Linked DNA regions of Oreochromis niloticus. The protein of the gene in region 4 binds, or shares a complex with, the protein of the main gene of each other region. Links are inferred from orthologs where the notes say so. Each region holds a gene or a part of one and is shown on either strand. Other genes may lie near its edges. The genes, in order: mnat1, gtf2a1, ciao1 and ercc2.

What was found.
Region 1: the proteins of ercc2 (region 4) and mnat1 are in contact, whole or in part, in a crystal structure (PDB 6TUN), measured with the Homo sapiens proteins. The link is inferred for Oreochromis niloticus from reciprocal best matches to the Homo sapiens genes ERCC2 and MNAT1. Residues at the interface, in NP_000391.1 of Homo sapiens: Lys274, Tyr285, Ala318, Val319, Pro320, Gly321, Ser322, Arg324, Thr325, Glu327, His328, Arg334, Arg335, Glu338, Gln363, Arg364, Val365, Cys366, Gln368, Lys370; in NP_002422.1 of Homo sapiens: Val68, Glu71, Val72, Arg75, Lys76, Leu79, Arg85, Glu86, Leu92, Tyr95, Asn96, Asp97, Leu99, Glu100, Glu103, Glu104, Phe107.
Region 2: ercc2 (region 4) and gtf2a1 share a complex: the UniProt entries of both Homo sapiens proteins name them as parts of the TBP-based Pol II pre-initiation complex. The link is inferred for Oreochromis niloticus from reciprocal best matches to the Homo sapiens genes ERCC2 and GTF2A1.
Region 3: ercc2 (region 4) and ciao1 share a complex: the UniProt entries of both Homo sapiens proteins name them as parts of the MMXD complex. The link is inferred for Oreochromis niloticus from reciprocal best matches to the Homo sapiens genes ERCC2 and CIAO1.

The regions. Positions count from the first base shown.
Region 1 is NC_031983.2:11,876,669-11,884,320, reverse strand, and holds the start of mnat1 (CDK-activating kinase assembly factor MAT1), read right to left. Parts: upstream 3,361-7,652; 5' UTR 3,219-3,360; coding exon 3,130-3,218; intron 1-3,129. Other genes in the region: homeobox protein SIX4a, read left to right, coding at 4,758-5,491, 7,143-7,652.
Region 2 is NC_031980.2:2,233,778-2,241,606, reverse strand, and holds the start of gtf2a1 (transcription initiation factor IIA subunit 1), read right to left. Parts: upstream 3,382-7,829; 5' UTR 3,168-3,381; coding exon 3,138-3,167; intron 1,462-3,137; coding exon 1,360-1,461; intron 344-1,359; coding exon 166-343; intron 1-165. UniProt on the Homo sapiens protein: TFIIA is a component of the transcription machinery of RNA polymerase II and plays an important role in transcriptional activation. TFIIA in a complex with TBP mediates transcriptional activity.
Region 3 is NC_031977.2:12,291,108-12,299,201, forward strand, and holds the start of ciao1 (putative cytosolic iron-sulfur protein assembly protein ciao1), read right to left. Parts: upstream 3,411-8,094; 5' UTR 3,130-3,410; coding exon 2,991-3,129; intron 2,879-2,990; coding exon 2,730-2,878; intron 2,638-2,729; coding exon 2,526-2,637; intron 2,438-2,525; coding exon 2,349-2,437; intron 2,259-2,348; coding exon 2,057-2,258; intron 1,955-2,056; coding exon 1,888-1,954; intron 658-1,887; coding exon 423-657; 3' UTR 1-422. Other genes in the region: tmem127 (transmembrane protein 127), read left to right, coding at 4,309-4,543, 4,642-4,806, 4,900-5,210; gatd3l (ES1 protein, mitochondrial), read left to right, coding at 7,652-7,768, 7,854-7,906, 7,991-8,094. UniProt on the Homo sapiens protein: Key component of the cytosolic iron-sulfur protein assembly (CIA) complex, a multiprotein complex that mediates the incorporation of iron-sulfur cluster into extramitochondrial Fe/S proteins.
Region 4 is NC_031979.2:34,778,717-34,787,036, forward strand, and holds the start of ercc2 (general transcription and DNA repair factor IIH helicase subunit XPD), read right to left. Parts: upstream 3,212-8,320; 5' UTR 3,035-3,211; coding exon 3,030-3,034; intron 2,781-3,029; coding exon 2,681-2,780; intron 1,699-2,680; coding exon 1,621-1,698; intron 1,540-1,620; coding exon 1,477-1,539; intron 1,349-1,476; coding exon 1,235-1,348; intron 1,143-1,234; coding exon 1,026-1,142; intron 216-1,025; coding exon 99-215; intron 1-98. Other genes in the region: zgc:154093 (cdc42 effector protein 3), read right to left, coding at 6,074-6,982. UniProt on the Homo sapiens protein: ATP-dependent 5'-3' DNA helicase. Component of the general transcription and DNA repair factor IIH (TFIIH) core complex, not absolutely essential for minimal transcription in vitro.

The DNA.
Region 1 (7,652 bases), on a different chromosome or scaffold from region 4:
AATGACTTCTTGCATTGCTGCTGGAGATTATCCTGCAGCATACAATTATAATTGTAATGTTAGCATCACTGTGTCCACCTTCTAAACACCACTGTGTACCTCAGCTACAACTGTTTTTGCCTGCCTGTGCCCAGTGTCAAATGCCAAAGGACACGGACCCAGTGTCATTGTGCAAAGGTAATAAATAACCCACATCAAATGCCCCTGTGACAAGGATACAAAATGTGCTGCAGTGGAGTTTAAATTTAGATGCATGGAGAAGCTTAATAATGCAACCGCTGAAGGCTAGTCAGCGCAGACTGGACGGGCCACTCAAAGAAGAGACAGTCTTACATTTATCTAAATGGAGTCCAACTATTCTCAGCTGTTTATGATTCATCTAGTATATGTATCTCAATAAGTCAATTAATCCTTTAATGGACAGTCACTGAACAAAAAGGTTTCACAGAGGCCTGGGCGATATCTTCAAATGACTTGTTTTGCGAAGAATTGGTTGTGTTGTATTAGCGTTATCGCTCTGAATAACTGAACTGCTTTGTGCTCTCACTAGTGCTACTTTCTCCTGGTAAACAGGTCGGTGTTCATATAAACCCTTCCTATACTTCATGAACATTTAAAGTGCTTTATGCTACCACACACACATACAAACAGCACTTCATTCTACATCTTTAAACCATTTTACCTATCACATACACTCTCTCATACCAAGGACATGCAGACTGGAGATGCTGGGAATCAAACTGTTCTCTTCTGCTTATCCTTATCAAGGCTGCGGGGCGGCTGCAGCCTATCCCAGCTACCATAGGGTGAAAGGCAGGGTACACCCAGGACAGGTCGACAATCGTGGGTCTCTACCTTCAGTTTTGTCTTCAGTAACTGAAAAGCATGCTCTACTGGTTTGAGATCAGGTGACTGACTTGGCCATTGAAGCATATCCAGTTTCTTTGGCTTGAGAAACTCTTGGGTTGGCTTTGCAATAAGCTTTGGGTCATTATCCATTTGTACTTTGAAGAGCTCGTTGATCAGTATTACAGCATTTGGCTGAATGAGAGCAGAGAGTATAGCTCTGTATGCTTCATTATTCATCGTGTTGCTTCTATCGGCAGTCACGTTGTCAAACACTAGTGACCAGGTTCCACTGGCAGACATATTTGTTCATCCCATAAGACTGCCTCCGCCATGTTTGACAGATGATGTGATATGCTTTAGATCAGGAGCTGTTTCGCTCTTTCTCCATACTTTTCTCTTTAAATAATTCTGGTATATATTCATTCATCTTAGTTTCATTTATCCAAAGGCTTTTGTTTGTTTGCTTTTGTTTAGCCCCTTGAATTAAAGATGAAAGTCTGAACTTCAACAATATCTTGATTTTTGAAAATTTAAAATCTATATGGTGGCGCACAGAGTCAAAAACTATATAACCATCTAAAAACTAACCATGTGCATTAACCTCTTGGATTCTCTTTTTCTTATATAGTTTTTCTGAAGAGCGTTGTTGATTAAAAATGAGAAAATGGATAACTCTGAAACTGATCAGAGTTACAGATCTTGTAGCATTTCTGTAAGACTCGCTGCAAAAAAGGGGAAAAACAGAAAAGAAAAGCCAAAAAGCATCAGTGATGAAAATACTAATATGATTAGGGAGTACAGCAGTTTCCAAGTGATGCATAAATTCACCGTCGCACCGGCTCTGAGGAACAGATCCAAGGTGACCCGGGCTAGGACATCTCTCCAAATTGCTTCATTGCAGAATCATTTTAATTTTCTGTGTGTAGTCCTGCATCCAGACAGAGGCAGTGAGTTATGAGCCCGCTGACCTGATGACAAAGCACGACCACTTCCTGATGGCACGGTCAATAAACAGACAGGGTCGAAAAAGATGTGCTCATCAAGCTACCACTGTCGCTGCATAATGCTCATGGAGAACATGTCCCCTTTATTTAAACGTCCATGTTTTTAAAGGGCGGACAAGGTTAAATGCTGAAAAATGCACGGCGAAGTATCGACATGATGACACTGCTCAGCAGTAACAGAATAAAAACAAATGGAAACATGCTAACTTTTCATCCATTTCTGTATGTTATGCAAATAATAATCATAATCTTCTACTTCTTTCATATGATCCCTTTAGGGGTAGCCACAGTGAATCATCTACCTCCATCTCACCCTATTCTCTCCCTTTCATCCTCTTCTGTCAAACCAACCCTCTGCATTTCCTCCATCACTGTGGCCTCTCTCTTTTCCTCCTGCAAGGTAGCTCCATCTTCAATATCCTTTAACCAACATATCCCCCCTCCAAACCATCTCATCATTACCTCTTATAATAATAAAATAAATTATTTTAGGTTTTGGTTTTGCATTATATTTTCTGTTTAATGCAAAAATGACAAATTCCAAGCTGTGGTTGATCAAATCAAGCCAGACCTGTGACAGAGATGCAGCCATTTAAATAAAAATGTAGCTTTTAGTTAGGTTGGCAGATTAACATGGAAAAACTTGCGCAGTCAAACTCGAATTTGATTTGCACCTTTCAGCTGGCCCTTTTCAAAAACCTCTGAATAATTCATATTCATTATGTGGTTAAAAACAGCACAGGGTGTTTATGCTCCTCATCATTAGTCACTTTTCCCCCTGCCATCCTAAACTTGCTGTACTTTCCACGCACACAAAAAAAGACACAACTGCAGGGTCTGCTTTTCTACAGAGGTCTCTAAGCTGAGCTGCTTACAGCCAGTGTAGGTCATATGTAAACAATGGCCGCTATACTATGTTTACCAGCAGCATTAGCCTAGCTTTGCAATTGTGTAGCTCTATCAGGAAACATAACCCACCTCTAAAGCACACTTACTGTCTACACTGACACAGCTATTTAACAGCCAGACTATAAATATGAGCTAGCCCAACAAACCGTCAGCATTCGAGGCTTATCAGTTTTGTTTACGTCCAAGTCCCCCCCATTAAGACTTGAGATGTATGTGCGGAAACAGTTTTAAACGCTATATTACAGCTGCTTTTGGGGGGTGCTTTTGTGTTTGCGTGTCTTTTTGAGCAGCCTGGAGCAGAAACGCCGCGATGTTGTGGAGGATTGTTGCACCTCTTTCCTTGTAGCTGTCAGGTGTGAATACTCACAGCGTGTGGCCGCAGACGTTCACCATCAGCTTCAGCGACGGGTTTCTGTATTTGGTTGTTTTACATCTCGGACAGCCCTGTTCGTCCATTTCTGTCTGCACCACACCAAAAAATAATGGCAATAATAATAAAGCACTTCAGAAACAAAACACGTCAACAACTTGCAGCTCTCCTGTCAGTTTCCAAGCTGCGAACCGCTGCGTTACACAAAATGAGGTCCGACGGGAAACGACATTAATAAGATGGGTTCCTATTTAATGATCGCTTTTAGAGGAGAGGTGCAAATTGCTGCTGGCACACACATACAGGGGCTGCTAGGGAGTCCCAGTGGAAGCGAGGTACAATAAATTAAGTAAATAAATAACTTTAGCTAGTAGTAATAGTAGTAGTAGTAGTAGTAATGGTAGTAGTGGAGTAAATATATATATATAAAAAACTTGCATATGATCTTGTAAGTCTCAGCAGAAACACAATTAAAAACAAAAATCAACCCAGACATTGTTTCCCAGGGTTTCTGACATCATATCGTTTCTGGATGATTGTGAATTTGGAAAAAACAACTCATAAGTTACATTAAATTAGTGTTATGAAATCATGAACGTGAACTTTGGGGGAATTACTTTGATATTTTAATATTTTAGTTTTCTTTCCGCCCAGTGCTTGAGCTATACTGGTTTATTGACTATATGTGGATGCTAGTAATTGTTAAGACGATCTGAGACTCTTTTACTATAAAAGATTAAATGAAAACATAATTTAAAGTTCAAATATCAGTAATGATGTGGTGTTGGACACTTGTTACCTGATGCTAGACAGATCACCTGATTTGGGAATGAGCTACTCTTGGGAGAAATTTGAGGTATAGTCCACATATGATATCTTTGAAGGGGTGGGCTACATTTTCATAGGGGTGGGCTGTTTTTTTCTGACATTACTTTGGTCGCTTATAATGTTCTGATCCAGTCTTCGGTGGGAGGGGGTGCAACCTCGCAACAGCCACTTAAAGCAGGATCTGTGCTGAAACTATCACTTTCATACCTGAAATAACAATAAAAACATATTTAAAGTGTGGGCAAATCTGATATCTATTTTTAGTTAACATTTATTACTTTAAAACTTGTCAAAATAAGTTTAAACTGCCTAAATAAAGTGAGTGACAGTATTCCCAGCATTACTTCCGTTTGGATTTCCATACATCGAGATGGAAATAAAACAGTCTTTTATGTGCATGCCTACAGACAAAGGATCTCCTGACAATACAGACAACAAAGATATCCCGTTCCCACGATCACAAAAGCACTCACCTTGCACAGGTGAGCTACGGTAATCTACTGGAAGTTATATGACTGACAGCTGGAAACCAAACATTCGCGTCTGAATCCATGCTTGCTCCTCCCTTACGGGCCCTCGACGGCCAATAGCGAGGCGCTCCTGTAGATAGACCCCAGCGTGTCTCCCTCCAGCTCCAGTCCCCGCAGAGTAAAAGTCACGTTGGAAGGAAAAGGGGAGAGAGATATCTACTTACAGCTGCTGTCAGATATCCGATCGCATTCGCATGGCGAGGAGGTAACCTGATCGAGCGGGGAGGAGTGACTTTACCAGGGAAGGCTTGAACCAAAAAAAAAAAAATGTCTTCTTCTTCTGCCGGAGAAGTCACAACAGCAAATGACATCAAGAGGGAAAATGTGAAGGAGGTGGATACGCGGGAGTGCATCAAGCTTGTGGCGCTGGACGCGGCGGAGTTGCCCATGGAGCGCACGACTCCTAGCACTGACGCGGTGCGCACTGAGCTGTTGGTGAGTGCCGCTTCCTCTCTGGCTTTCTCCCCGGAGCAAGTGGCGTGTGTCTGCGAGGCACTGCAGCAGGGAGGCAATGTGGACCGGCTGGCCAGGTTCCTGTGGTCCCTGCCACAGAGTGACCTGCTACGGGGCAACGAAAGCATCCTGAAAGCCCAAGCCCTCGTAGCTTTCCATCAGGCTCGGTATCAGGAGCTCTACAGTATTTTGGAGAACCACAGTTTTAGTCCGTCCAACCACACCTTTCTGCAAGATCTGTGGTACAAAGCGCGGTACACCGAGGCGGAGAAGGCGCGGGGGAGACCCCTGGGCGCAGTGGACAAGTACCGAATTCGGAGAAAGTATCCTCTCCCCAGGACTATCTGGGACGGCGAGGAGACTGTTTATTGTTTCAAGGAGAGGTCGCGGAACGCACTGAAGGATCTGTATAATCAAAATAGGTACCCGTCTCCAGCCGAGAAAAGAAATCTCGCCAAGATAACCGGACTCTCCTTGACCCAGGTCAGCAACTGGTTCAAAAACAGGAGACAGAGAGACAGAAACCCGTCGGAAGCACAATCAAAAAGGTGAGGCAACAAAAGGAGCACACCACAGACCTTTTCCCGTCACAGATCGCTCATCAAACGGCAATAAAATTACTTCTGAAGGTTATGTGCGTAAAAGGCCCTTTAATTAAAATGAACGCCGATTAACTTTACCAAGTATTTAAAAGTTGTTGTTGTTTTTAATGGAAAAGCGCCTATATTATCCAGTTGGACTAAGTTCGATTACTGACAATACCGAGTGTATTTCATAATCGTCTTGCCGGCCTCACAAATAAAAACGAACAATTTAAATCATTAACTATTCATAGTTCAGAAACACAAAAATGTATTTGTAAAGGGGTTAGGAGCACGCTTTTAATGTTTTGAAATATGAAGCTGTTGCCATTCAGATCAAGTTTCAAGTGCGTTGGTGCTAAGAGGCATGGAAACCATAAGCAACAAAATACACACTTCAGCGATTAAACTATCAGACGCGGGGAGTGGGCAACTTTAATGAGACGGTTCAAAAGATGACTTGAAAGGTTAATATCTTCTTATCTATTCGTGGTGTGTGTGTGTGTGTGTGTGTGTGTGTGTGTGTGTGTGTGTGTGTTTGTTTCAGCGCGCGCACGAACACACTTGGGGGTGCGCTTGTACCCAGCGGCACATAAATCATTTTCATGATCATGACTTCTTTTTTCCCCCCCTCCCCTTCTTCCTTTTGGATCAAGAAAGGATCTCAGAGCTTCCATCAACTCCTGCGCTTCATTTCATAATCCCGCAGACAAACAGACTGACATGTGCACGCTATTCTTTCATGTTTCCCTCTGTGTGAACAAAGATGACGCACACCTGGTGGAGGTGACCCCTCTGTGTCTCTAACCACACACGCGCACGCACGCGCGCACACACACAGGCACATACACGCGATCGTAGGCTGTCTTAAAATCGCCAGTGAAAAATAATAATTTGAAAGTTTTTAAATCTTTATAAACCTTGGATTTCTTTTTCTTTTTTTTCTGTTTTTTTTTTTTTTTTTTTTTTTTTTTTTTTTTTTTTTTTTTAACGTGTAACAGCCTTTTATATTTTCCTGGAAGTGGTGGGTTTAGATGCGTGTGTGTGTGTGTCCCTTAGGGGGAGTGGGGGTGTGAAGTGGTGCAGCTGTTTTAATCAGTCTTTTAAAAGGGGGCTAGTAAACAAAATGAGGCTGCTAATATAGTTGCTCCTATTCTTTCACTTTGTTATTCTTGGAAAATTAAAAATAAGAATTTTCATTAGAACGTCCCAAATCAGAGGCAAAACAAGTAAATAAATACTTGAAGCCATTTGTCCTGTCAGAGCTAGCATTTTGTCACTCCAGAATTTATTGCGCCAAATGGTTGCACGGTTGTTGACACTGCCTGGTGGTTGTCCATGCAGCTCTCCATGAGGGCTACACATCCACAGACACAGCCTGCCTTCAAAGCTTTGTAATAACCCAGCAATAAATGTGAGTCTGGCTTAAAAGCAAAATGTGGGTGGAAATGAAATGAATTCCATTATACGAGTTTATGGTCTAATTGTGTCCGTGTTTATCGTGTGCTTCCTTCCCAGAAATGTATACAAATGGTACACAAATTTTCCCTTTTTATTTTCCTCTGTTTTGTTACACACCATTTGTCATCTTTCTCCCTCCTCTTTTGTTTTTCTACAGCGAATCAGATGGAAACCACAGCACAGAGGATGAGTCCAGTAAAGGCCAGGAGGAGCTGTCTCCTCGTCCTCTCTCCAATTCTTCAGATGGGGTGATAACCCACGGGAACCTTCCTATTCAAACGGGACCTCTGGACAGTGGGGTGGTCATCCAACAAATTGGGGACATCAAAATGCCTCCTGGATCCAGCAGTGGCGGTCTCTACAATGGAAGTCTAGTGACCAGTAACACGCCCTCTACTGTATTTCACAACGGTGGATCATCTTACCTCCACTCACCTGGAAACATCCTCTTCAACGGGCTCAATTTGGGCATCCAGCCCCTGGCTTTTAACCCTCTGAGACCCTCTGGAGGGGTGCTGCTGGGGGGCTCTGGAGTGGACATGCAGATGCAGACAGGAGAGGACAAAGGACTAGGGAATGCTGAGGAGTCCACCCTGCCATATGCATCTTACGCTGGCTGTGTGAATGGGTCAGAGGTGAAGCTGGAAGGGGTTCACACCATGGCTGC
Region 2 (7,829 bases), on a different chromosome or scaffold from region 4:
TTATTCAAAAAGTGTACAAACAATGCACACGATCAGTAAGCATTCATTGTTTCCTGTGCCAGTTTGGCAAATAACTCAAAGCTGCAGGCGACATTTTTAGTGCCCAAAAAGGCATTCACGGGTTTTTGCACTTGTTTTTACCACTGTGTGCCACTGCTGGCTAACCTTGCTGTTGCTGGGGCGGCAGGATGACTTGCTGGGTCTGAGCTGGCTGGGCCACCTGCTGGACTTGTTGGACCTGCTGAACTTGTTGTTGCTGCTGCTGTGCGGCCTGCAGGGCTGTCTGCTCCTCAGTATGGAAGCCCTCCACTGCCTTGGACTGCAACAGCTTGTTCTCCCATAGCTGTAGAAACAAACAGAGGCAGCACAAAGACATGTGTTAGAAAGCTGCCAAAGACTCCATTTAAATCCATGCTAACATGTTTTCAAATGAAAATCTCCATCCAGGTAAATGTTTAACGCAAATTCTGTCATTATCGACACACCTGTAAACGCATCACACTGTCCAGACATGCCGATAGTTCAAATTAATTCTGCTTTATTTATATAGTCACAACAACAGTCACCTTCAAGGTGCTTCATATTGTAAGGTACAATAATACAGAGAAAACCTAACAATTAAACGAGTCACTGTGAGCAAGTGTTTGGCAACAGTGGGAAGGAAAATCTCCCTTTTAACAGGAAGAAAGCTTCAACAGAACCAGGCTCAGGGAGGGAACCAGGTAAAAGAGAGCCAGAGACCAATATTAACTAATGGGTCACAAACTCAAAGTGAAAAGAGGTCAAAGAAACCATGAAGCGAAGATTGAATTTTTGCTTATTTGTGTCAATCTCATTGCCTAGGTAGGCTTATGTGCCATAGCCTCCTCTTGAATTGAGCATATCATGCAGTGTACACACTGGTTGTGTTGTCATTTCAGTGGTATTCAGACACCACCTTCTCTGCAAATCACAGGCATACGTCTGTGTTATAACAGCCCTACTGAAAGTAACACTCGAATATAAGGTGGTGATTGCACCAGAAAACTCATACTGAAGTCGCTGCAAAGCAAATTCTGCAACACATCAGTGGCACTGAGAGCACCATCCATCAAAGGAAACCATGGTAACCGGGGGACAAAACATGGATGCCATTTTTGTGACTTAATCAGAAAGTTTCCAGAAGTTTGTTTTCTGTCCATCCAGACAACAACTACAGCAGCTTCCAAACTAGGAAGTGGTCAGCAGTCATTCAAAAGCGCTCCGGTTTGGGGGAGCGTGCTACAGTACACTTTACTACAAAGAGCGCACACCTCTGCAGTAGGCAGCATTTCCCCTGCAGTTGCTATATACAGGTGCAACATTGGTAAGGACGGTTACCGTTTTCAGCTCCAGAAGAACTTGCTCATCTACTCCCTCATCCAGGAACAGCTCTCGCACCTCACTGATCACATCGTCAATCACATTCTTGTATAATTTAGGCTGGGAGGAAGAAAAAAAAGAAGAGGAAATAAACTTTTACAGTATGCTGTTTATATTATAGACACTTTTGCCTTTTCCAGTAAAACATGAACAACATGTCTGGTACAGTCAGTATTGATCATTATGAGCTTGGGTTTTATGTCAAAATTAGCCCTCAACAGTGTATTTAGCAAGCACACCTCCTCTTTGGGCTTCCAGCTGCCAAAACGACAGCAAAACATTAGGTATACAGCTGATGGTGTTATAATTATCATATTTATTTACGCCTTGCCACACTGGCTTTAATTGGTATAACACGGTAATAGCTGTTGCACGCGGTCAGCTAAACTCTAAAACTGCCCCCACTTGAGAATCATGTGTGGGGGTTCGGGCTGCAGCGTGTGCACGGCACTACGTGGCTTGTTATGCTAACCCATATAAACTAGCTCTTTATGTTACTACTACTAAGGTAAACATCATGTCCCCGGGGTCTGAACTGCGCGCGCGGCGGAAAAAGCAAACGCATAACGTTCAGAGCTCCGCCAGGGCCCTACGGTCCCGTCTCAGCGGAGTGATATGAGGCTGAAACAAAGCGACACACACGCGGGCCACCGCACTGCGCTGCCCCGATGTCCGCAGCGCAGACCTCGGTCTCTCCTTCCCTCCCCCTCGGCCTGTCTGCTCCTCACTATTTAAAGCTCAGTCTGCTGTTTATATGTAGAGCCGGTGACGTAGCGTCGAGTAGCACCTTCCCATCCCGGGCAGTCTATATTAGAGAGCCAATATGGCTGTATAAAAACCAGGCAGCGGAAAGGAGGAGGGCCAGAACCGAGAGAGAGAAGGGAGACGAGGAAGCCATTTTACGGAGCCGCAGAGTGCGCGCTCGACAGCCTTTTTCTTTTAAACAGTGTGTGGCGGAATGTGAAGGACATTTTCGGTGTCTTATCTTATCAGTGCTCAGCTTTGGCTAAATATTTTTTGGCTCTGCTGGCAGGTAGCAAGGACAAATTTGATATGGTATGGGTTAAAGAAGTGGTTTGGGACGGCTACCCTGCCTTCTGGTCGTGGAATGGTGGACAATGATGAGGCAGTTGACGACTTTCTACTGAGGTTTTAATATATATAAACTATATATATTAAACGCTCAATTCTCTCGCCGTGGATGATGACAATGTGCTTTGCGTACATCTGTATTTCATAAGCTATCCAATAATAAAAACTTAAATTGACAATTTCTTCCTTCTACGAACAAACAAGCATTTTAAACTAAACTGGCAGCTCAAGCGTCCACCAAAAATGAATTTAGCCATACACGCTATTAGACATTACTGTGATCACGTAAACCTTCCAACTAATGAAAGCTTCAACCTGCCGAAAAACCACCAAACTAGAATTACATGTTCATCGCTAAACCTCAGTTTCTACACGTGTTCTTATTTTTACTCAAACACTGCCTCTCTAAAGTAAGCCATTCCTCCTCCGAGATGGTTTCAAATGAAAGAACTACCTAGTTTCGAAAACTGATTATAATGGCCGATTGACTGAAACTTAAGTATTCCCTTTAATAGATATAACAGTGAAGTGTTTGTTAAAGCAGACTCATTTTACTGTAATACATAACACCAGCTCGTCGACAGCTTTCCAATAACTTTACCCCCATTTTCCCCCGCTGACAATCCTTAGAGATTGATCCTTACCACTGGGTTCGAGTTAGCCGAGCTCGCCATTATACGCGTAGTGTAAAAACCACACGGAAATAGGCGAGGAATAGAGCCAAAAATTACGAAAAACGATTTAAAACAACTGGGAAAGATATTTTAAAACAGCCGGCATCACTTTTGTAAATAAAACACAGTTTAGGCGGTCTTATTTACAATCCCGGGCTGCGACTCCCCAGCCGTCCTCCTTCCGTCGTTGTCCTGCTTTATATACTGAGCGAAGAAGCTGCGAGTGCGCGAGACATAGGGCAGGGTCAGGTCGCACATAGCGCGAGATTTCGTGCGGAGTATGACGACCAATCAATAGAGCCGCTCATGGGAAATGTAGTTTAATAATGCTTTTTTTCTTTCTTTTTTTTTTTAGAAAACGGAACTGAATCCTCTGATCGCATTAGCTTAATTCTCTGTGATCTTGTTTATTGAGTCAGGGAAACTGTAAATATTAGAAACCATATGATGAATTAAAAATAGAGAAATTAATGAGATAAAAGTTGCTGATTACTTAAAATGCTAATAAAAGCTTATTAGCATATAGGTGAATCATTTTAAATGAACTTATTTCATTTTTTCTTTCTTTTTTTGCCTATACATACAATAGGCATTCTATTGTTTTTCCTGTTTTCCATCATATACTAGAACTGTATGCTGCAGTGGTGGATGCTCATATTAAATATGGGCAAACTTTCAAATAATGCCTTCAGCATATGTACAAATCATGAGCTAAAAGCTCAGGCCTTGAGGTGGCTTTAGACAGGTTTTCTCAGGGGTTTCTGAGGGGCTGTCAATCAGAACCTAAAGCAGCTCATCTTAGAAAGTGAATAAACCAAAGACCACTATAGGATAAATACAGATTATTTTTAATCTACGACTCATGTAAAGCTGCACTAAATGGTAAATGGCCTGTATTACTAGTCCCTAAGGACCCCAAAGCGCTTTACACATCCAGTCATCCACCCATTCACACAGTGGTGATGGCAAGCTACATTGTAACCACAGCCACCCTGGGGCGCACTGACAGAGGCGAGGCTGCTGGACCACCACCAGTAGGCAATGGGTGAAGTGTCTTGCCCAAGGACACAACGACCGAGACTGTCCAAGCCGGGGCAACCTTCCGATTACAAAGCGAGCTCCCAACTCTTGAGCCACTGGTAAAGGTCAACAATAATAATAAATATCAGGAAATAGTATGTCTCTTTTAACGTTAACTGTTTTATTCAACATGTCTGGAGAAATACTTTTGTCTAATGGCCAAGGTTGGTTGTTGCAGATTAAATGTAATATTTTAAAAAATATACATATAGAATAGAATAGAATGCCTTTATTGTCACTATACGGTTGTCAGTGCCAACATGTTTATAGATTTAACCATTATTAATAAGGAAAACATGATATTCTTATCACATATAATACATAAAGGCTATTTAAGAAATAGTGCTAATAATTTTTTAATGTATTCACTTGTAACAACACCAACAGTTTAATTGACTTTTGCACTTAATAGTTGGACCTTGTGTTAGCTCAACACTACTTTTACCTAAGCAGAGGGTCCGAATGCTTCTTTCACTGCTGGTGCACACTTTAATACTTTAATACAACACAGGTGCCACTTAAACAAGTCTGACCTTTACCAGCTCCGTAACTGCATCTGTAATGCTTCTCTGTGGGGCCAGTGTGCTTTATGTAGTAACATTGTGCCACCACAAGAGGGCGATCACACCACGCACCAGGAAAACAGGCTCTCTATTTCACATTTCAACACTCACACACAAACACACTCACACACACTCACACAATCCACTTTGTAAAGCACGCAACTGTTTTCCACGTTATTCAATAAAAGCAGATTTAAGTGAATTTTTGGATGAGCAACATCCACTGGTCTTGTTTGCTTGCTCTGAAACAGACTTGCCCTGACTACCAAGGGGGAAATTTACCCCCCACAAAAAAACAATAAAGCTTTGCAACAAATGAGAGCTGACAAGAGAACGTTACCTCCACTTCTGTCTCCATGGAAACTTGCCTCGCTGGTCATTCTGAGGATATGGATGATATAGACCGGGGAGCACACAGCTCTCCGCGTGCATCAATCCACTCAGCGGTTCAGTGTGGCTCTTCTGAAATGGCATATTACACCACCTGAATTCATTTCATTTAGTTCACTGAGATGAAATTAAAGGCCTGTCCGCCCCTGACAAGGATGTGCTGTTGGATTCACTTTAAACCTTTTCCAGTGGAGAACAGTTGGGGAGGGAAAAAGAGGAAAGAAGTGACATGATAGGAAAAAGACTTTGTTTAATCTGTGCTTCTAAATGTGAGATTTGATCAGACGTGAAGCCAGGTTATCCGTGAAATGTCGTCGCTACCTTTGAGTCTCACTCTCTGTAACTGAGTAGTAAGATGCCCTCTAAAGATCCAGAGAATGCACACTTTTCTTTTCTCACCCCCCTCTTCTTCTTTGCTGTAGTTGCATAGCAACAGAGGAGCTGCTAGCTCCAGTTGTGTTGTGGTGGGAGCGTGCTGCACAGGGAGGCACTGGCTCAAGATTAAGCCGGTCTCTGCTTCAATTATGAATGGGCTTCCACTGCCACACGGCTCCAAAATGGCACCACTCAGATTGATAAGACACGGAGGCACTCTTTGGTACACTTAACTCTTTTACTTCTTTCCCTTAGGGAGGGGGAGCAGGACTTTAATCAGAAGTATTGAACTTAAATGATTAGAGGAAGCAAATGAATAATTAACTGGCGGGAAAGGCTTGGTTATGATAAGACCCTTGTTGATGGGAATATGTGAGGTTAATGATTGGGGTCAGTCTTGAGAGCAAATTAGAGTCTCTAGTATCACAAAGCTAGCACTTTACTAGTAAGTGGGGGTTTGTGTGTGGTGCTGAGGAGGTGGATGACAAAGGCTGACATCCTTTACTACATTTCACTTGAAGCGCTGAGATGAAAACAGCTAATTGTTTAGTACTCTGATCAGCTTCCAGTAAATATGTTCTTAACAAAACTCAGTCAGAATGGTTGATTTACAGCAGTTTATGTGTGGTGGAGGTGGGTTGCAAATTGGCTTGCAGTGTGCAAAAGTCTTGAGACACTTAATTTCTATATTATTTTATTTTGCTTCCAAGGAGGCAGATTTTTTTTTGAATTTTTAAGAGAAATTCAAGGTGGGCTCAAAGTGGGATTTCAAAGTTTTCCTTTGCTTTTTCAGTCATTTCCAGTCCAGTCCTTGTACCTGACCATTTTCAGAGGAGCTGTTTAACACTGACCTATGCATTACTCAAGCATAACAAAAGGCACCCAACTGAAGAAATTAACCAGTGTTGTGCCTAAAACAGACACCTTAGCAAGGAACCTATTTTTAGTAGTATGTTTAGGTACTTTGCTATTAGCAGCTTGTTGCAAAAACGTTTAATTAGTCAAAGTCTTACAAAAAATGCCCAAGATAGCACAGCTTGTGGTTCCCGAAGAGCTATTAGCTGGAATTCGCTGGAATTTTGGCCTCTTTGTACAGTGTATCCGTAGAAATGTGAGGAAACTGGACAAGTGGAGGACAAAAGGAGTGACAGGCCTAAGATGAACATTATCTGAAAGTCATGTCCTTAAGAAATCCAGCAAAGATCTGACACAGGACCTGAGAGACGCCTCTGTCCATGTTTAATAAAGTCTCATCAGAAATGATCTCAGTGGAGGGTTGGCTGTCAAGAAGGTCCGACGGTGAGTGTCTGCAGCCATTTGTAAAACACGGTGGAGGCTCAGTCCTGGTTTGGGCTGCATTTCAGGCAGAAGAGTTGGGAACCTTGTCAGAGCTGATGGGATTATGAACACAGTACTATCAGATGTTGATCCACCATGTGATGCCATGTGGAAGGCGGACACACTGCCAGTGCAGTAAACTGAATGTTTGTTTCACCCCCCTATCATATGTCACTACTCTCTTTATTCATTGCACTAACATTATGTCACTTGTCATAATTACTTTTACTGATAGTTATTTTATTTTATCTGCACTCTTTTTCCCGCTTGTTGCGTTGAGCATGTTTATGACAAAAGAATTTCCCTCAGGGTACATAAAGTTCTTCTTATCTTATCTTAAAAGGTCAAACCCAATTAAAAAAATTGAGATACTGTATAAAATGTAAATACATTTTATGTAAATGCAAATCTAATAAACCCATATTTTATTACAATAGAACACATAATATCACGTATCAAAAACTGAGAAAATTTGTCGTTTTAAGAAAAAAAGGTCATTTTGAATTAATGACATAATATGTCTAAAAAGTTGGGACAGAGCCATGTTTATCCCCTCTTCTTTAACAACAGTCTGTAAACATCTGGGAACTGAGACCAGCTGCTGGACTTGGAGAGGAATGTTGTCCCATTCCTTTCTGATACAGGATTCTAGCTTCTCAACAGTCCTGGGTCTTCTTTGTTGCATTTTTCGTTTCTTGATAGGGCAGAAGTTTTCACCTCTGTTGACAGGCCAGCTCAGCACCTGGACTCTTCTACTACAAAGAAATAGTGCTCTCCAGAGAACACGAGTCCAGTGGCAGCCTGCTTTCCATCACTGCATCTGACGCTTTGCATTTGCTTGGTGATGTAATCTTTGGCTGGAGCTGCTCAGCCATGGAAACCCGTCCATGAAGCTCTCTGCACACTGTTCTTGAGC
Region 3 (8,094 bases), on a different chromosome or scaffold from region 4:
TGGCCATTGTGGATTAAAGAAACACTTAAAAAGGAGATGTGCTTTATAAATCCTGGGGATAGTGCATCCTTAAACCAGGTAGGGTGCATAAAAACAACCGGCAACTATCCGGTTATATTTTGCATTCACATCATTTTATTATGAAATGTAATCCTTGGACTGGTTGAAGTGTTTTACTGTCTGAAATGTTTTTGCAATAAAAAGGAGAAGAAACATTTTTCACTTTATTTCATAGTTAAACATGTTATTTCTATTAATTCTCAGTGGCGCTGCTACTCAAAGCACATGAAGCAGTATTCTCAGCATGGACACAGATGAGCGCTGATGTCAAGCAGAATCCTGATGAGCTATAAAATAATGATCTGTGGTGAATGCCGCAGAAAGTTCCCAGTTTAACTCGTAACTATGCACTCCAGTGATGTTCATTCCTCTTCTTGGAACCTCCAAATGGCGATTTCTCCGTTATCGCTGCACGAAGCCAGGAGTCCCGCCTCCTTTGGGTTCCAGGACACGCAGTTAACATCTTGGTTGTGAGCTCTGGCCACTTGAGCAGCCAGCGAGAATACTGGCTCGTCGGGATTGGCTGTCTCATCCTCCTTGAAAACTCGCACTGCGTCATCACCACAGGCAGTTGCCAAAGCGCCAGTCAGCTGACACCTGAAGAAAGATTTAGGTTCACTGTGACGTCTAACAATGACAAATTCATGCACGTGGAGACCACATCTTTGGGATTTCTGGTGGTCAGTTAACCTCCACTTTATGTTCTCACATAATTCTCTGCATAGAGCACCACATATTCCTCACAAATTTCCCACGTGTGGGACTAATAAAGGTTATCTTATCTACTGCATTGTTACAGAGAAATTACAAGTTGTGGAACGCTTAACCACTGCTATCGCTAGACGATCTTAGAGGTGCAGTGTGTAAAAACGACTAGATGTCAGTAAATCTAAGAACAAATTCAGCTGAATTCTTTTTTCTAATAATCCTAGTTACAGTTTTCACCTCAAAAACTGCCATTAATCTGTAGCTAGTGTAAGCTGCTGATATGTCAGGTGAGACGTGCAGGTCTATTTACTTTGGAGGAGGCTGCAAAACTTACAGGGGTCCAATACAGGTCACTGAAGCTCATTTTTTATCCTATTACGGTGATACTGAGGTGAGTTGTTGAGCGATCTGCTGGGGTCGGCATTTGTGAATCTTTTTTTTGCCAATAAACTTTGAGAATCTAATGAAACACTGTAACAGCGGGAAAGTGTCACTTTTAGGACCCTCGAGCCTAACATTAGCTGGTATTAGAGGATCGCATGTCTAATCTGCCGACAATAAGTAACTGCAACAATATCAGGAATAAATTAGCATTTTCATGCATGTTTTTGTGTGTTAGAGCCCTGAGGTGAGGAAGAGGATGACATTTTTATTCAGTTACGGGTCACGCTGTTTCTTTCCTTTATGTTTTCACTTCCTTGGTGAACCCTTCTCAGATGGTAAAACATATGAATAATCTTTCATATCTTTAGTCTGAAGGTGAAAACACAAATTGCCTCCACACCACATGAATCCCCCGTCCTTTAGCATACTATATATCTGGCAAGTCTCTTCCTACATACATAAAACATGATTAGGCTGAACTGCAATCCTCATCTCGGTTACTCCATTCAAGATGGCGAGGCAACGTGGTGGCTTCCACACTTATGTATTTTTAATGGATTAAATCTAAGTTTATGAGAATGCATAAGATGTAATTACACACTAATAGATGTATGTTTATGTGCACAATGGTCTTTTTTTCTATTAAATGACTTCAAACAATGACTAATTGCACCTTTAATGATTGACTGAAGCATTTTACAAGAATGGCAGAGTACATTACAAAAATAGTCTTACCAGGAAACATCATACACCGTTCGTCCATGGTACCCAGACAGAGTGCAAACACACTTCCATGACAGATCTTAAACAGAAAAGCAGAAAAAAAAAAATACATATTGTCAATATTTTTATTACAGCATTGATTTATGATAAAACTAATTAGTCCTAACCATTGCTGACTCACCCGGTCCACTTTCAGCTGGATACTCTCTCCAGATCTTCACAGTGCGGTCATCGCTGCAGGAGGCCAGCCTCTGACCAGCCGCATCAAAACACAAACTCCACACTGTGGACGTGTGTCCCTGTAAGGTGGCCCGGCACTCCCAGTCATCATCCTCTTCTTTGTAAAGACAAATGTTGTTGTCATAGCTGGCTGAGGCCAGGAGCTGTACAAACACATGGTGAGTGCAGGGTCACGTGGTGTTGCAACTGGAGATGAAAAAACAATCATGTGGACAGATCCAAATGAGACCTACCTCCTGGGTCGGGTGCCAGACAACGTGCTTGACGTCTTGCGTGTGAGAGTTCACAACTGTAACACATTCATACTCGTCTTCTTCATCCACTGCAGAGCAGAAAGAGACAAGGTCAAGTATATAAACAGACAGTGGCGCAGATCAGTTAGTGCAATTTAGGCGCTCTTTAATACAAACCTTCCCAAACCCAGACGCTCTTGTCTCGGCTACATGTGGCTAGAAGATTCCCTGAAGGGGCCCACGCCACACACTTGACCTCGTTTTCGTGTCCTTCCAGCACAGTCAAACTCTAGGAGACAAAGTGTGGGTAACAATCTGCAAAGATGCAGCATTTCTAAGGCATGCCATTTAACACAATGAACAGGAGACCTGTCATCTGACCTCAAAGTCATCGTTCTTTTTTTTCCAGATGCAAGTGGTAGCATCAAAGCTTGCAGAGGCCAGATAATTCCCACAGGGAGACCAAGCCACTTTCCTCACGGTGCGCTGGTGTCCATCCTGCAGCACGTTCTTACATATCCAGGAGTCACCTGAAAAACGAGAGCAAGGTAAAGGGGTGAAGGATGTCAACTACTGTACTATAATGCTTTGTTATGCGACTGAGGCTGGGGGTGTCTGCGGTTCAGTTCATGGAGAGCTCACCTTCTTTCCCCCATATCCGGATGGTCTTGTCGCCCCCACATGAGGCCAGCAGCGTCCCGTTGGGGCTCCAGCTGACGAACCAGCAGCGGGAGTCCGGGTGTGCGCTCAACCTCTGAACCAGGGACAGAGCCTCCTTCATGGTCGAGCTGGGAAAATACTTCCGAGTCGCTGTCACTGACAGTTAGCCGAGAAACGAGACAGGAAATGGCCCGAAGCACCAAAAGCAGACAGAGAGCAGCAGCAGCACTACAGCCCTAAACCACAGTCAACAACCAGGGCACGGATACAAAAATGGCCGTATCTGCGCTGAACACAGTCTGTAACTAGCACCAAACAACAAAGTGCAGAAGTTCACAACATCACCGGTGAGCAAAATGCCGCCATCTTTACTTATCTAGTCCCCGCGCTGCATTGTGGGTTGCAGTTTCGTGGTCTTTTTTTTTCCCCTCGGGAAATTTCACGTAAAAAACAATTCCGTGAAATTTACGGTGTTTTATTTTATGTCGTGTTTTATTGTATTTTATTGATCTAAGGTTTTATCTTGTTTGTTCTTAACTAACTTGTAAAGCACTTTGGTCAGTCTTGTTTCTTTTAATTGTGCTATAAATTTTTGGTCATCTCTTTTTATGATTTCCTATGAAGTATTCACGCGAGCACCTTTATTTTGTTAATGTACAATGAGTGAGTTTAATAAAATAAAGAAGAGAATTTTATGTTATTGTATGATGACTTTCTGCCATAGGAGGAGTCGCCAGTAGGTGGGAGTACTGACTTTTACAGCTATCGAGTCCGCGAAGAAGAAGAATGGTATGAACAAGGAAGTCAAGTGTTTTCGAGGAAGCCAGCGGACGCTTCCTTTTGTTTTGTCTTTGTTTTTTGTGTACCAAATCTATCGTTATTTTTATTAGTATTGTTAGCTAGATTACTTTATAGACGTATGACTGTCGTGTCGGTCGCTGTTATAGTTATTTTTTGTAAAAAAAAGAAAAACTTGACGACATTTTGCGTTTACGAGAAGTTAGCTTTTCAGGCTAACAACAGAGCTAGCAGGCCTGAACCATCTGTCCATTGTGTTGCCGTCAGTCAGACACCTGAATTGCTTTTGATTAAACAGCTAGTTTTATGGTCTGTTTTAATTTGGAAACATTTGAAACCAGAGTGAACAAAGGAGCCGGGTCGCTGTCATCAGTCCAGAATTAGCTTTACCGGCTGTCGGTTTTTTGGCTGACTTGCTCGTTACTACCGCAGTGCTGTCAGGTACACTGACAATAAAGGGAAAGCAACACTATACAACAGAGGACGAGGAAATCGGATTAGGATGTATGCCCCGCCGGGTTCTACTGTCCCTGGAGGCCGAAGGAGGAGAGGCACCTCGTTGCCCAAGCAGCCGGAGCGGAGCCTTGTGTCGGCTCTTCCCGGAGCTCTGTCCATCACAGCGCTGTGTACAGCTCTGGCTGAGCCGGCTTGGCTCCGCGTCCACGGAGGAACCTGTCCGAGACAAGAGCTGGGGGTGTCAGATGTCCTGGGATACATTGACCCCAAGCTTCTGGATGGTGAGGCCCACACACAAGCTCCGTTAAAAACCCACAGCAGCAATTAATCCCAGATCTCACGTGTAATGCTCTGTGATGTGTCCGTCTGTTCCCATCAGATTACTGCGTGAACCCGCAGACCATCTTGCTGCTGAGAGTAATCGCTGCCTTTTGTTTCCTGGGAATCCTCTGTAGTCTGACTGCTTTTCTCTTGGATGTGTTTGGTCCCAAGCACCCTGCCCTGAAAATAACCCGCAGATATGCATTTGCACATATTCTCACAGGTAATAATCTTTTTTCCCCTCTTGCTGTCTAGAAAAAGACAGACAATGTGTAAATTCAATGATCTGTAACTGTCTCTTTCTGTCTCCCACCAGTGCTGCAGTGTGCCACAGTCATAGGTTTTTGCTACTGGGCCTCAGAGCTGATCTTGTCCCTACAGCAGCAGCACAAAAAGTACCACGGCTCTCTCATATACGTCACTTTTGCTATCAGCTTCTACCTGGTGGCGGGCGCGGGTGGAGCATCCATCCTCGCCACAGCTGCAAATCTTCTTCGTCACTACCCAACTGAGGAGGAAGAGCAGGCTTTAGAGCTGCTCTCGGAGATGGAGGACAGCAGTGAAACATTTCCTGCCGATTATGACATTGCCAATCAATTTCAACCGCCACCCGCATACACACCCTAATGCCACCAGACTCGCCTTTGTAACACCTTTCTCTCTCAGCACAGCTACTTAGCTTGATGGGCAAAGCCCAGCTCTTTATCAAATGGATATCTTTGCAAAAATACTCAGTGAACACAGCGTGTCAGTGCGCAGGTTCCTTGAATGACGGTGCTTGGGTGCATGAAAGCTTTCTTTAGTGGTGACAGAAATTTAGAAGCTAATTCTTACTTTCACCACTGGAGTTGTTAGTGAATTGCATGTAAATGGCTTTTAGGGATTTGGTCCTTACATGTAAAGAAAACTAAACTTGCTGGAAGTGCTCAACACGGCTCATGACAATTAATTGATGGAACAACCAGAGCTGGATCGTTTTAGTAGGATTTAGTTGAATGAGCGCTATCGGCGGTTGTTTTGCTCTCGATCGGACGTGAGTGGAGCTTTGTTTGCTTTATGGTTTTAGTTTGACGTGCTTGCCATTTGTGTGAATTTTATTTTACCGACACCTTACAGATGCAGAAATACACTGACAAGATTCTTTAAACATCTTTATTTTATATAAGATATCAGATTGGACCTTATTTATTGTCTGTGCTGTCTTTTTGTAGTTTTTGCTTTGTTCATCTTTTCACTAGTTAAATCTTTGTTCACTTCTGTACTTGAAATAAGAAAACTGTCAGAAATTGTGAGCCAGGTCTTTGGTGTTTTAAAACGAATCATGGTGTGTGTGTGTGTCCGCGCGCGCATGTGTGAGAAAGTGTGTGTGTGTGTGTAGCAATCGAGAGAAAGTGAGAAACATGTTTGTATTATTTCACAGTAAGGGTGACATTTAGTTTAAAAAACACCTCACCGCATCAGAAGTTGTTCATTATATTTCTCGTGTTTGCTTTTGAAAAAAAAAAAATTACTTGCACTTTGTGATTCCCACATGTGACCGTTTCAGTATGCATTTCCAGTGCATGAGTTCATTTGTGTGAAGACTTTAAACTTTGAGTCACCATCTAAACGAGAACATCTCACACAGGCAGAGGCTTGGACTTGTGACTGATGTTGTGATTCTAGTTGATTGTGTATTGTTCTGTTGATTCCATAATTTTCTGCATTTGTCCCTCAAACTGTCACTATAACCCCCCTTCCCTCCTCAATTTGTAAATAATGATCATTTATACATTTAAAAAAGAAGTGATCATAATAAAGGAAACCTCATACTTTTGCCTCTCGCTCGTCATCTGTGAATTAACATTGATTTATTGTGATTTCAGCAAATGCAGCCCGAAGGATCTGCGTTGATCTAACAGTGTTGTGACTTTAACATTTACGTCTGCCTGGGGTATTTCTGGTCTCGTAGTCTAGAGACTGTAGACACAACATGGCATTAAAGAGAGTAAGAGTCTTAAGGTCTAATGGACTTTAGTGGGCGTATGGTACGCCTTTTACTGTGAAGAGTTCAGAAGTATGAAGCAGTTTAAATGCTCGATCCATCCGTTTTCTTATCCATTTGAGGGTCGCAGTGAGGCTGGAGCCTAGGAGAGAGAGAGACTGGGTACGTCCAAGACAGGTCGCAAGTCTGTTGTAGGGCTAGCACAGAGAGGCAGAAAGCCAATCACAGTCACATTCACACAAATGAGCAATTCTGAATCACCTCTCACCCTACCAAGAACAGAGAAACCCCATAGAAAAAGCCCCATCTGACTGGGGGACTTGAACCCAGGACCTTTTTGCTGCTAAAAAAAAAAAAAGAGTCTTACTGGCAAAGACTGCAAGGCTTTTCCCGGATGCATAATGTGGTCAATATACAGACTTTAAATAATGAGCTAGCGTAGAATAACATATATCATGAGGCTAAATTACAGACTGTCAAGTTCTGCCACACTTCATAAATCAGATTACCTTAGATTACTTTGAACTAGCTAAACGCACAAGATTTAAACAATCCCTGTAATTGAATTGGGACAAAGGAGTAACTATAGAAAGCGGGGAAAAAAGGCTCACTCAGGCATCACATCGATTGTTGCCTTATATAAAAGACACTGTGACTGTTTTGCAAAAGTATATGTTAGCTGTTCTTCAAGTTCGCTTGTCTGCATCTGTTGCCAAGAGTTAAACTATTAAAAGGTCAAGATACTGTTTGGGTTGAAGCACTACATGTTTACATTGCTCTTCAAAGCTGAAGTGTCACTCTGTGGCCAAATGACTTAATCAGATAAATAAACAAGGTATTAATAGGAAAGAGTGTTCATGAGGAGGAGAGTAAGTCAGTCAAGGCGAACAAGAGACGGCTCTTCTCAGAAGACAGAGCTTACGTGGTAACGTCACTTAGCCCCACTCTGCAGGTATATATACGGACAACCTCGTTGACATCAACACCACGACCATTAAAAGTCTCTACGTGGCTCTGTGGTAAAACTGTGAAGTCTTTTATTTTTTAAAATTTTCTTCTACAACAGTGAGATTGAAGCTAAATCATGCTGGCAACCAGGGCTTTGCTGTCAAAACAAACGCTGGCTGTTCTTTCTCGCCAGCCTGCCTGCTTTGTGCACCAGGGTGACTACGGCAACTGGGGAAATACTAACGTTGCAGTGGTAAGTGATGCAGATCAGTCTGGGAGAAAGGAGCAGATCAACGGGTGTGGGTGTAGTTGTGATTTGGTGACTCCATGTGTTTCAGGTTTTCTCAGGATGCGGATGGTGGGACGGCACTGATGTCCATGAAGGGGTTTAGTGAGTATCACTCCTGCTGAGGTCAGGAAATGCACATGACTGAATTAACACGGGCAGATGGTAATGCACCCCTCTCGTCTTCAGCACCATGTACCACCTGAGCCGTAACGGCGCCCGCTTCCAGATGTTTGCTCCAAATCAACAGCAGATGCACGTGATTGACCACATGAGAAAGCAACCTGCCTCTG
Region 4 (8,320 bases):
TACATGTAATAAAACACTCAAAATCTCATTCATGTTAATTTACATCACATGGCCACATATTTGGCATTTTCACAGTAAAGGTTTCCCCAGTAACTCACTGAATAGCGAGCCAGATAGTAAGGACACCAGCCCTTCCTCCTGCCAAAGGCCTTGAGGTCATCAAGGTTGTAGATGCCAGCAGGAAGAGGCACCTGTCGGCCGACTGAATCGAACTCCTGCAACACAAAACAGGTTTTCCTGTTTTCCAGTTTTCAGGCATTGTAAACCTACAGTTTGTATCTGTGTTAAGATCAATGAGCTAAAAAGTCTCAAACTGAGACCTATAACACTTCCTGAGTTCATGTAGGCGACAGCCAGAAACCAAACACTTTTTTAATCTGCATATCTGATGGTGTCGAGTAGTTGCTGGATTTAAGTTTTCAGGCTGATTAAATGCTCCTAACTAATCACGTCGAGCCAGTAAGTTGTAATCATCCAGCACAGAAATGAACAGATTACTAAAGAATAGAAACCTGAACTTGTTTTTAAACTTTTAATCCATAAAGATCACAGAACTTACTCGTCTTTAAGCTTTATTAAGCATTCAAATGTATCTAAGTTTGCATGTAGCACAAAAAGGATCGTGCTTAAAGACAGCAGGAGTCAACCACATGCAACGCAATGCAGGAATAGTTACTAAGTTATACCTTCATATATGCATTTTAGTTATAGTGGTAAAAAACATTTTAGGGGGTTTAAATCTTATAAAATTCATGCATCTATTTTTGGATGCAAATCCAAGAGAAACACTCACAGTGTCACCACCACCACCATCTTCCTGCCTCTTTACCTCAGCAACCTCTTACACTTCATTTAAATCATGAGAGCTGATTTAGCCAGTTAGCATCCTAACTCAGTAGCATCACCGCCCCAAAAGCGCCTGACCCCACCGGTTATGTTGAACCCTGATGCTGTCGTGTCAACAGCCATTACAAAAAAATATCTTCTGCTTCTGTTGAAAAACACCATCTGATGTGAGTTCTTGCCTCGTAGAAGCGACAGACGGGCAGGTTGGGGTTGCTGTGATGTTGTGCGCGGATGTATGATGCTGTCAGACTGTGGCACTTCCCATCGACTTCCTTACCGAAGCGCAGAGAGCTCACCTGTGAGAAGACAAGCGTGTCGGTCACTTTTGAAAGGAGAAAGCTGAATCCTAAATCGCTCCTTTAGCTTCGTGGGATGCGGGTGTTCATACCTCAGGGTGGATGCAGAGGTTCTTCCTGGAGGAAAGAGCGAGAGCCAGGAAGTTGTTGCTCTCTCCTGTTTCTTTAGTGTAAAACTCCATCAGCTTCCTCAGCTCCTCCACAACCTTATCGGAAAGAATCAAACACACCATGTGAGACGTCGGGGCTTTGAACGCTTCTTCTTGTTTAATTCAAAAAGAAAGTTACACAGTAGAAACACGCTTCACTGACGACTGATTTGACGTCCACTCACCTTCTCGATCTCCGGAACTGTTCTAGAGCAGTAAATTAACTTGGTGACCTCCAGAGGGAAAGCCTGAGAGAGAGAGAACATATTTACATGCTGATCTACCACCAGCTGTTAGTATAAACCACTTATGAGAGAGGCTGAACTCACCCTTTGGTAGGCCACAATGAGGGACAGTAGAGAGATGGTCTTCCCTGTTCCTGACGGCATCTCCAAGACTCCATGACCCTGAACAGGAACAGGTTCGGTTAACACAGAAAGCAGCAGCTGAAAGTAAACACTCACTTTTAAACGTGAGCGAAATCTGAGATGGACACACTGTACTTCCCTGAAGGAGCAACACAATACGACACAGTGACACAAAAGGTAAAATCTGGACTAAATACTGTAACTTTAGGAATCATCTCTTCAACTCCAAGGAAGGAAAGAAGGAAAAAAGTAACTCAAATTTTAAAATACATACATGACTAGACTGATCACATCAAGAAAAAAATAGAACTTTTCTTTAACTGGAAACAGCAAAGAGCAGAAAATTTGATTATCTTAAATAACTGAAATAACAACTGGATAAAAAAGATGACTCGTCTTCCACCTTCTTCAGACCAAAATGAATCTATTGCTATGCTTGCATCCTCCTCTGTCCCCGACAGCAGCTGTACAGGCTTCATATATCAACCCCTTCGCATGTCCTCCTTCACCACATCCATTTTCTCTGAGTCCTTCCTCTTCTCTCCTGCCTGGCAGCTCCATCTTCAACACCCTCTGATCAATATATCCACTATCCCTCCTCTGCACACGTCCAAACCATCCCAGCCTCTCTAACTTTGTCTACAAACCATCTCAACCCTCTGATGTATTCAACTCTAATCTAACCATCCTCGTCAATCACAATGAAAATCTTAACATCCTCAGTTCAGCCTCCTGTCTTTTTTCAGTGCCACCGTCTTCAAACCAAACATTATACCAAATCTCACTACCATCTTGTAAACCTTGCCTTTCACTCTTTCTGATATCATTCTGTCACAAAGGACTCGTGACACTCATCTCCATCCAATCCACCTCTCTTCTCCACTGTTCATTCACACGTGTCATCCAACCTCTGGACTGATCGACAGTCCAGCTTACACCCAGGGTATTTTGTGTAGATAGGAGCACAGATGAACCTGTGCATGAAAACCACGCCTTCAGATTAACCTCTGACACCACCCACCTTGGCATCCAGCGTCCTCTTCAGCTCCAGCATGTAGGAGTACTGCTCGGGGTAGATGTAGTCATAGGGAAAATACACCAGCAGACCCTCAATGTTGAGCCTGCAAGGAAACAGCAATGATGCTAACAGTGCACAGCAGCTGTACAGACTTCATACTGGACTATCTTTAAGCCAAGTATGTGCGAATGAGTGCGAGACAGCTAAAATAAAAATTAAAACAGTGATTTGGATAAACTAGAGCCACAAAACTCTGATTTTATGTGGACTTGGCTCAGGTATGTCACAGTTGCTGGAAACGAGCTAACACTGAAAGCCCATGTTGTCTGTTTGTACTCAGTAAAACACTCACTTCATCTTCACAGCACGTTTAGCGGCAGCTCCTCTTCTTTTTACGTAACTTATGTTATTTTAAAACAGTCATTAAAATTTGAATGTGCGCAAAAAACACAAAACAAAACGCCGCATTAGCAACGCCACAGCCTGCTGCAGCATTTAATTCTTCTTCGTTTGTCGTTTAAACGCTATCAGACGGATTACGGCCCCCTACAGGCCAAAAGAAAAACTAAATAGTCCACTGTAATGCTTCGAAGTTACATTTAAAAACCCTTTATTTAATTAGTTTATAGTTAATGTCTCCTTATATTTATTTTATTTATGTATTTATATTTAAATTTGACGACGATTACTTCAACTGGAAGTGTTAGCCTGCTGCTATCGGCGCTAACTTTGACCACATTCGAGTCATATAACAATTTAATTTCCGGTGAATAGTTTGTAATATAAACGCTAAAATAACCCATCAGTTAGAATCGCACGAGCTTCAGTGTTTAATGGTATACTGTGTATTATCAAACAGCCGTTACATCTTACTGTGTAGAGGTAAATGTGACTTTTCGGTCGTTTTACTTTTTACGTTTTAATTATAATTCACAGCTGTGCTTTCTCGATGCTTTCGTTTATTATTTGGGCTTCAGCGTGTACAGCAAAGGCATGCATGTGTTGGGTAATTTCATTATATTTTTTTGTATTACTTGGAATACCCTACCCGAATAACTTTATTTTCACAGGCTTTTCCGGAAGTAGTTCTAAGTCAGCTGCATTAATGAGATTTTAGTCATTTTAAAGAGTTGCCATTCCAAAGAGTGACCACACGGGGGCAGCACATAGCAATAAAATCGCCCTTGTGCACACTATAACGTCTGATGTATCCTTTCAAAATACTCCGATTAGGAAGAATTTTTCATCCGCAACCAAAACAAAGTAATCTGAATTCTCAGAATATATTAATAAATAATTATAAATAGACCGACAACAAAATTAAACTTTTTTTTGCTGTCCAGATTCTTTAATTTCACACATATTAACATTTATTTATACAGATTTATACTTTTACTGCACCTGCACTGAATTGAAAACTAGTTTTTAATGGTTTGAAATTTAATCTGAAAACTATTAAAAAAGACTTTTTTTCCCTTTTTTTTTTTACTGTAATTACGTCACTGTGGTTCAGAGGTTTGGAAATCTTTATTCATCTCATCGCTGCATGTGAAAAACACCCATAAAGTATGCCTACTAGTGTTAATGTCTATAAAGCGTCTGTCTGCGAAGAAGAAACCGCAAAGTTTTTGCAGTAGGAAACATTTTATTCGTACATTTACAGATTAATCATACACCATAGATGACATTTGAATAATAGGCTACTGTGATCATGCAGACAGTGAATGTCAGGGAGGCAGAGAGTGAGCCACAGCATGTATAAAGACAGATATCTCAAAACTGATCAACAAAGCAGCACTTTTTCTTATTCTTACCCTTAAAGCTTTTAAACAACACCAACATTAAGCATACCCAGCTTCTCTCTGATGATAAAAAACTAAAAAACAAGGTTAAACCTGCCAGTGAAATGTTGATTAAATGGGATACAATCATATTAGAGGATGACAGTAAAGTCAGCAGCAGCGGAGTTGATGTAAAAGAGTGAAGATGTCAACATTTCAGCCCCAAATCACACCTTAGGAAGCCAAAATGAAGAATTTAACCTGCAGCATTAAACTAGTAGTATTAGCAGTTTGTAGCTTAGTCTATGTACGTAACATGAACTCTGCTGCAGAAATACACATTTATCCTGAAAGAATTAATAGCTGTGCAGCTGGAGATTCCTCCTGTTTTCCCAGGCCGATCTGGAGACAAGTATATTTGACTCTGCAGAGAAGTGAGCAGGAAATCCTCAGTGAGAGTCAGATTAACAGGCGATACAGATTAAAGGGAGCAGTGGTGATGTTACTGCAACTGTGCTGGTTAACTTGGAGCAGGGTTGCCAACTTTCAGCTGTCAGTTGGGGTGAGATGAGGGTGGCGATGTTTATGTGGGATAATTAAACACAAAAAATGATGCAGGTCACAGGTGAAGGACAGCCTGTATTTCCTCTCATAACTTGTTTGTGCAAGCGATTCGGTAGTTTTGGCACACTTCTCTATCCCACACTGGGATGTACTTGTGGATCAGCACAGCTGTTTCACTTTTTTATACTAGGTCCATTAAAAATTTGGGAGGCTGTCGCAGAATGTGGGACAGTTTTTAAAGATGATAATCTTTTTTTTGTCATTTTTGGATCACTCCTCGCTTTAAATAACCTAGAGAGAGGTGCTGCGACATATTTTAGGTAATTTTCAGGATAAATCTGCCAAATTTGTTTTGCTAGTAAAATTCTAAACACCTCTTGGCTTATTTTATTGGTTAAATTAATGATTAGAGGTGTCATCCTCCTATACAGCCTGCTGTTATGGTAAACATCCATAAACACTGTAAGTTGAAAAGTTTTGTTGCAGGGTTAGTTAATAGTTCTAAATAACTAATAAAGTTAGCTCTGTTGGACTGTTTTGGTAAATATGTGCAGCTGTTTCGCTGTGGGGACACTCACATGTATCCTTGTGAAGTTGCAGGTATTTAATACACTCACAGGAAAGACTTCCCCCATCAGCTGAAAGCAACAGGATGTTTATGGACCTGTTTTGTTCTAAAATGGGCAGAAAACACCTGCCCAAAACATACATGCAAATGGGTGTATTTTTTTTAAATAAAGGAGGGTCTGCAGGTTTCTTTGGACACCGTGAGAATGACGGTGTGCACGTAACCGTTGGCAACCCCATGTTATAGTTTAAAATCTATGTGCATGAGGTTCAGCTTTGAAGGCTCGAGCAGCAACGTCCTGCATTTCAAGCTTCTTGAAGTCTTTTATCACCTTCAGACTCGGCTCCCAGGAGTAGGCGGAAATATAAGTTCCCCTCCCTCCTCCGTCAGTCCCTCCATCTTTTGTCTCCATCAGTCTGTTCAGAGTTTTAAAGGATATATTAAACCATGTATAAAAATATCTTTTTGTCTCATTAATCTCAATCACAGCTCGCAGTGGTTGTCCTCAGCTTTGTAGCGGTCCATGATGCTCAACACATCCTCCAGGATGGATGGGCCCAGATCCAGGTTCAACCCCGCAATGGAGTCGGAGCGCGACACACCGGAGGGCTTTGTGAGGCCGGCGGGGTGGAAGACGGTGCAGGGTGACTCGCTGCGTTCGCTTCGAAGATCCTCGTTGCTCAGGTAGGTGTCGGAGTCCAGGCTGAGGCCCCGGCGAACGTCCTGCGGCCCGCAGATCTCTGACATGGAGTCCTCAGAGGAGCCCTCAGAGAGGGAGCCGGAGGAGGGGACGAGTCTGCGGATAGCTGGGGAGAGGGAGATGTCACGGCAGGGCTCGGACGCCAAGCGACCCACCACGCCATTCTCACAGAGCGACACGGTCGGGTGCTGCTGGCGCTGACCGTCTGTCTGGCTGCAGCCATTGTTCTGTTTGGGGGTCGCCGCAGGAGGGTGCTGATGGTGGTGGGAGGGACCATCCAGATGGAGGCGTGGCGGTTTGGGTGGAGCCTGTTCGTGAGCGATGAACACAGGCATGGAGATGGTGTTCTTCAGCAGGCCGCTGGACGAGTGCTGGTAATGGTAGCCGTTAAAAGCGTAGCTGTGCACGTCCTCTTTCGCGGTGAGGCCGTCTCCCAGGTCTCTCTCCACACTGTGCGAGCGGGCGTGGCCGTTCTGCGTCCGGCTCGTGGGTGGCAGCATGTCCATCTTACCCTGGAGGAAGCCGACGTCTCCAAACATGTCGCCCTCGCCTTCAGGCCCCACGTGGGCACTGTGACGCACGTCGCCCAGCGGGGGGCTGATCATGTCACCTGAGAGGACGTCCCGGAGCTTCAGCTTCTTTCCCTTCTTGGGAGTCGTTGTCTTTAGGTACATTGGCGTCTTTGCAGGCATCTTGATGTGGATGTTGGGTTCCTCGGGCCGTTTGAGCTCCAGCAGGAGAAATTCAGCGGAAAGCAAACAGCACTGAGTTGATAAGAAGCTCTCTTGGCTGTTTTTCCCACTCTCAGCTCAGATATCCAGTCTGTTCTGCTTCTCCAAGCGAGTAAACAAGTATTTGGGTCGGTCAGAGTAGCGATAGCAACCTGGCGGTTGAGCCTCACACTGACATGTGACTCAGGAAGGGAGAGGAGAAAGGCCTTGACCTCAGATCAGCTCCCTCTGTCTTCCCCTCCTACGCAGAAAATCCATATCAAAGCAAACGCCGAGCCCTCGTCTCCTCAAACTCTCGTCTTTATCCCGGCTCAGGCAAACAGCATGCAGGGGATCAAGACTGGGATCTCTGGCTGCCTCGCCGTCTGCTGCCCGGTCAGTCCTCCAAGTTCCTCAGAAACTTCAGGAATGTGACATCAAAACACTGGAGATCTGTGAGGAGAAATCAGAGCGAAAAGGGAGTCAAAAAGAGGCCGAAAGAGATCGAGGGGAAGAGGAAAAGCAGATAGATGGGACAGAGGGAGGAATGAAGCCAGGGGGGAGATTTACAAGCACTTTTTTCAGAGAGCCAGAGGACACTTGAAGGAAAACACTCCAAGAATCCACAGTGTTTGCTCAGAGGGCCCTGCCTGCCCCACACTGTGTGAAAATGTGTGACTGGAGGTCCTCGGGCTGCTCTTACAGAGTCACGCATTAGTCTCGCATTCCCAAAGACCCTTCAGCTTCGTCAGTGGAAACACAAATTACCACACCGAAACTGTCGGTTTTAAAACACCTCGTGCCTAATCACAGCATCTCATCAGGAAATAAAGTGTCTTTCCCGAGAAAGACACAGGGAACACCCGAAGCCTCGAGATCAGAACTCCAGTTATTTAACTGGTTAAACATGTAGAAGTGCAGGTTTTTCAGGACCACAGTTAATACAGTTTATCCACAGCTCTTCAGTTTCCACTCATTTACTTTAGTCATAGCAGATTAAAGCTACTAACACTGAGAGTCGCCTCACCAATGGTTAGAAAACAATAAAAGGGGTGAAAAAACAGGCAAATATCCGATACTGACAAAGTGTCTGAAGTGTGAATTTGTTCTGTGCTCAGTAACGCCATGACCTTATGCCTCTGTGCTAAATTGCTTGGGTATGGAAAAAAACGGCTAGTGTGAATGGCTGAAAGAGGCCAGTAGTAAAAAGCAGTTTGTGTGCTCAGTAAGAGCAGAAAAGAGTAGTTAAGTACCAGTCCTAAGTTTTTACATCTACAGTGCTTAAAAAATGTATTAGAGCACCTGTCATAAAGACAAGTA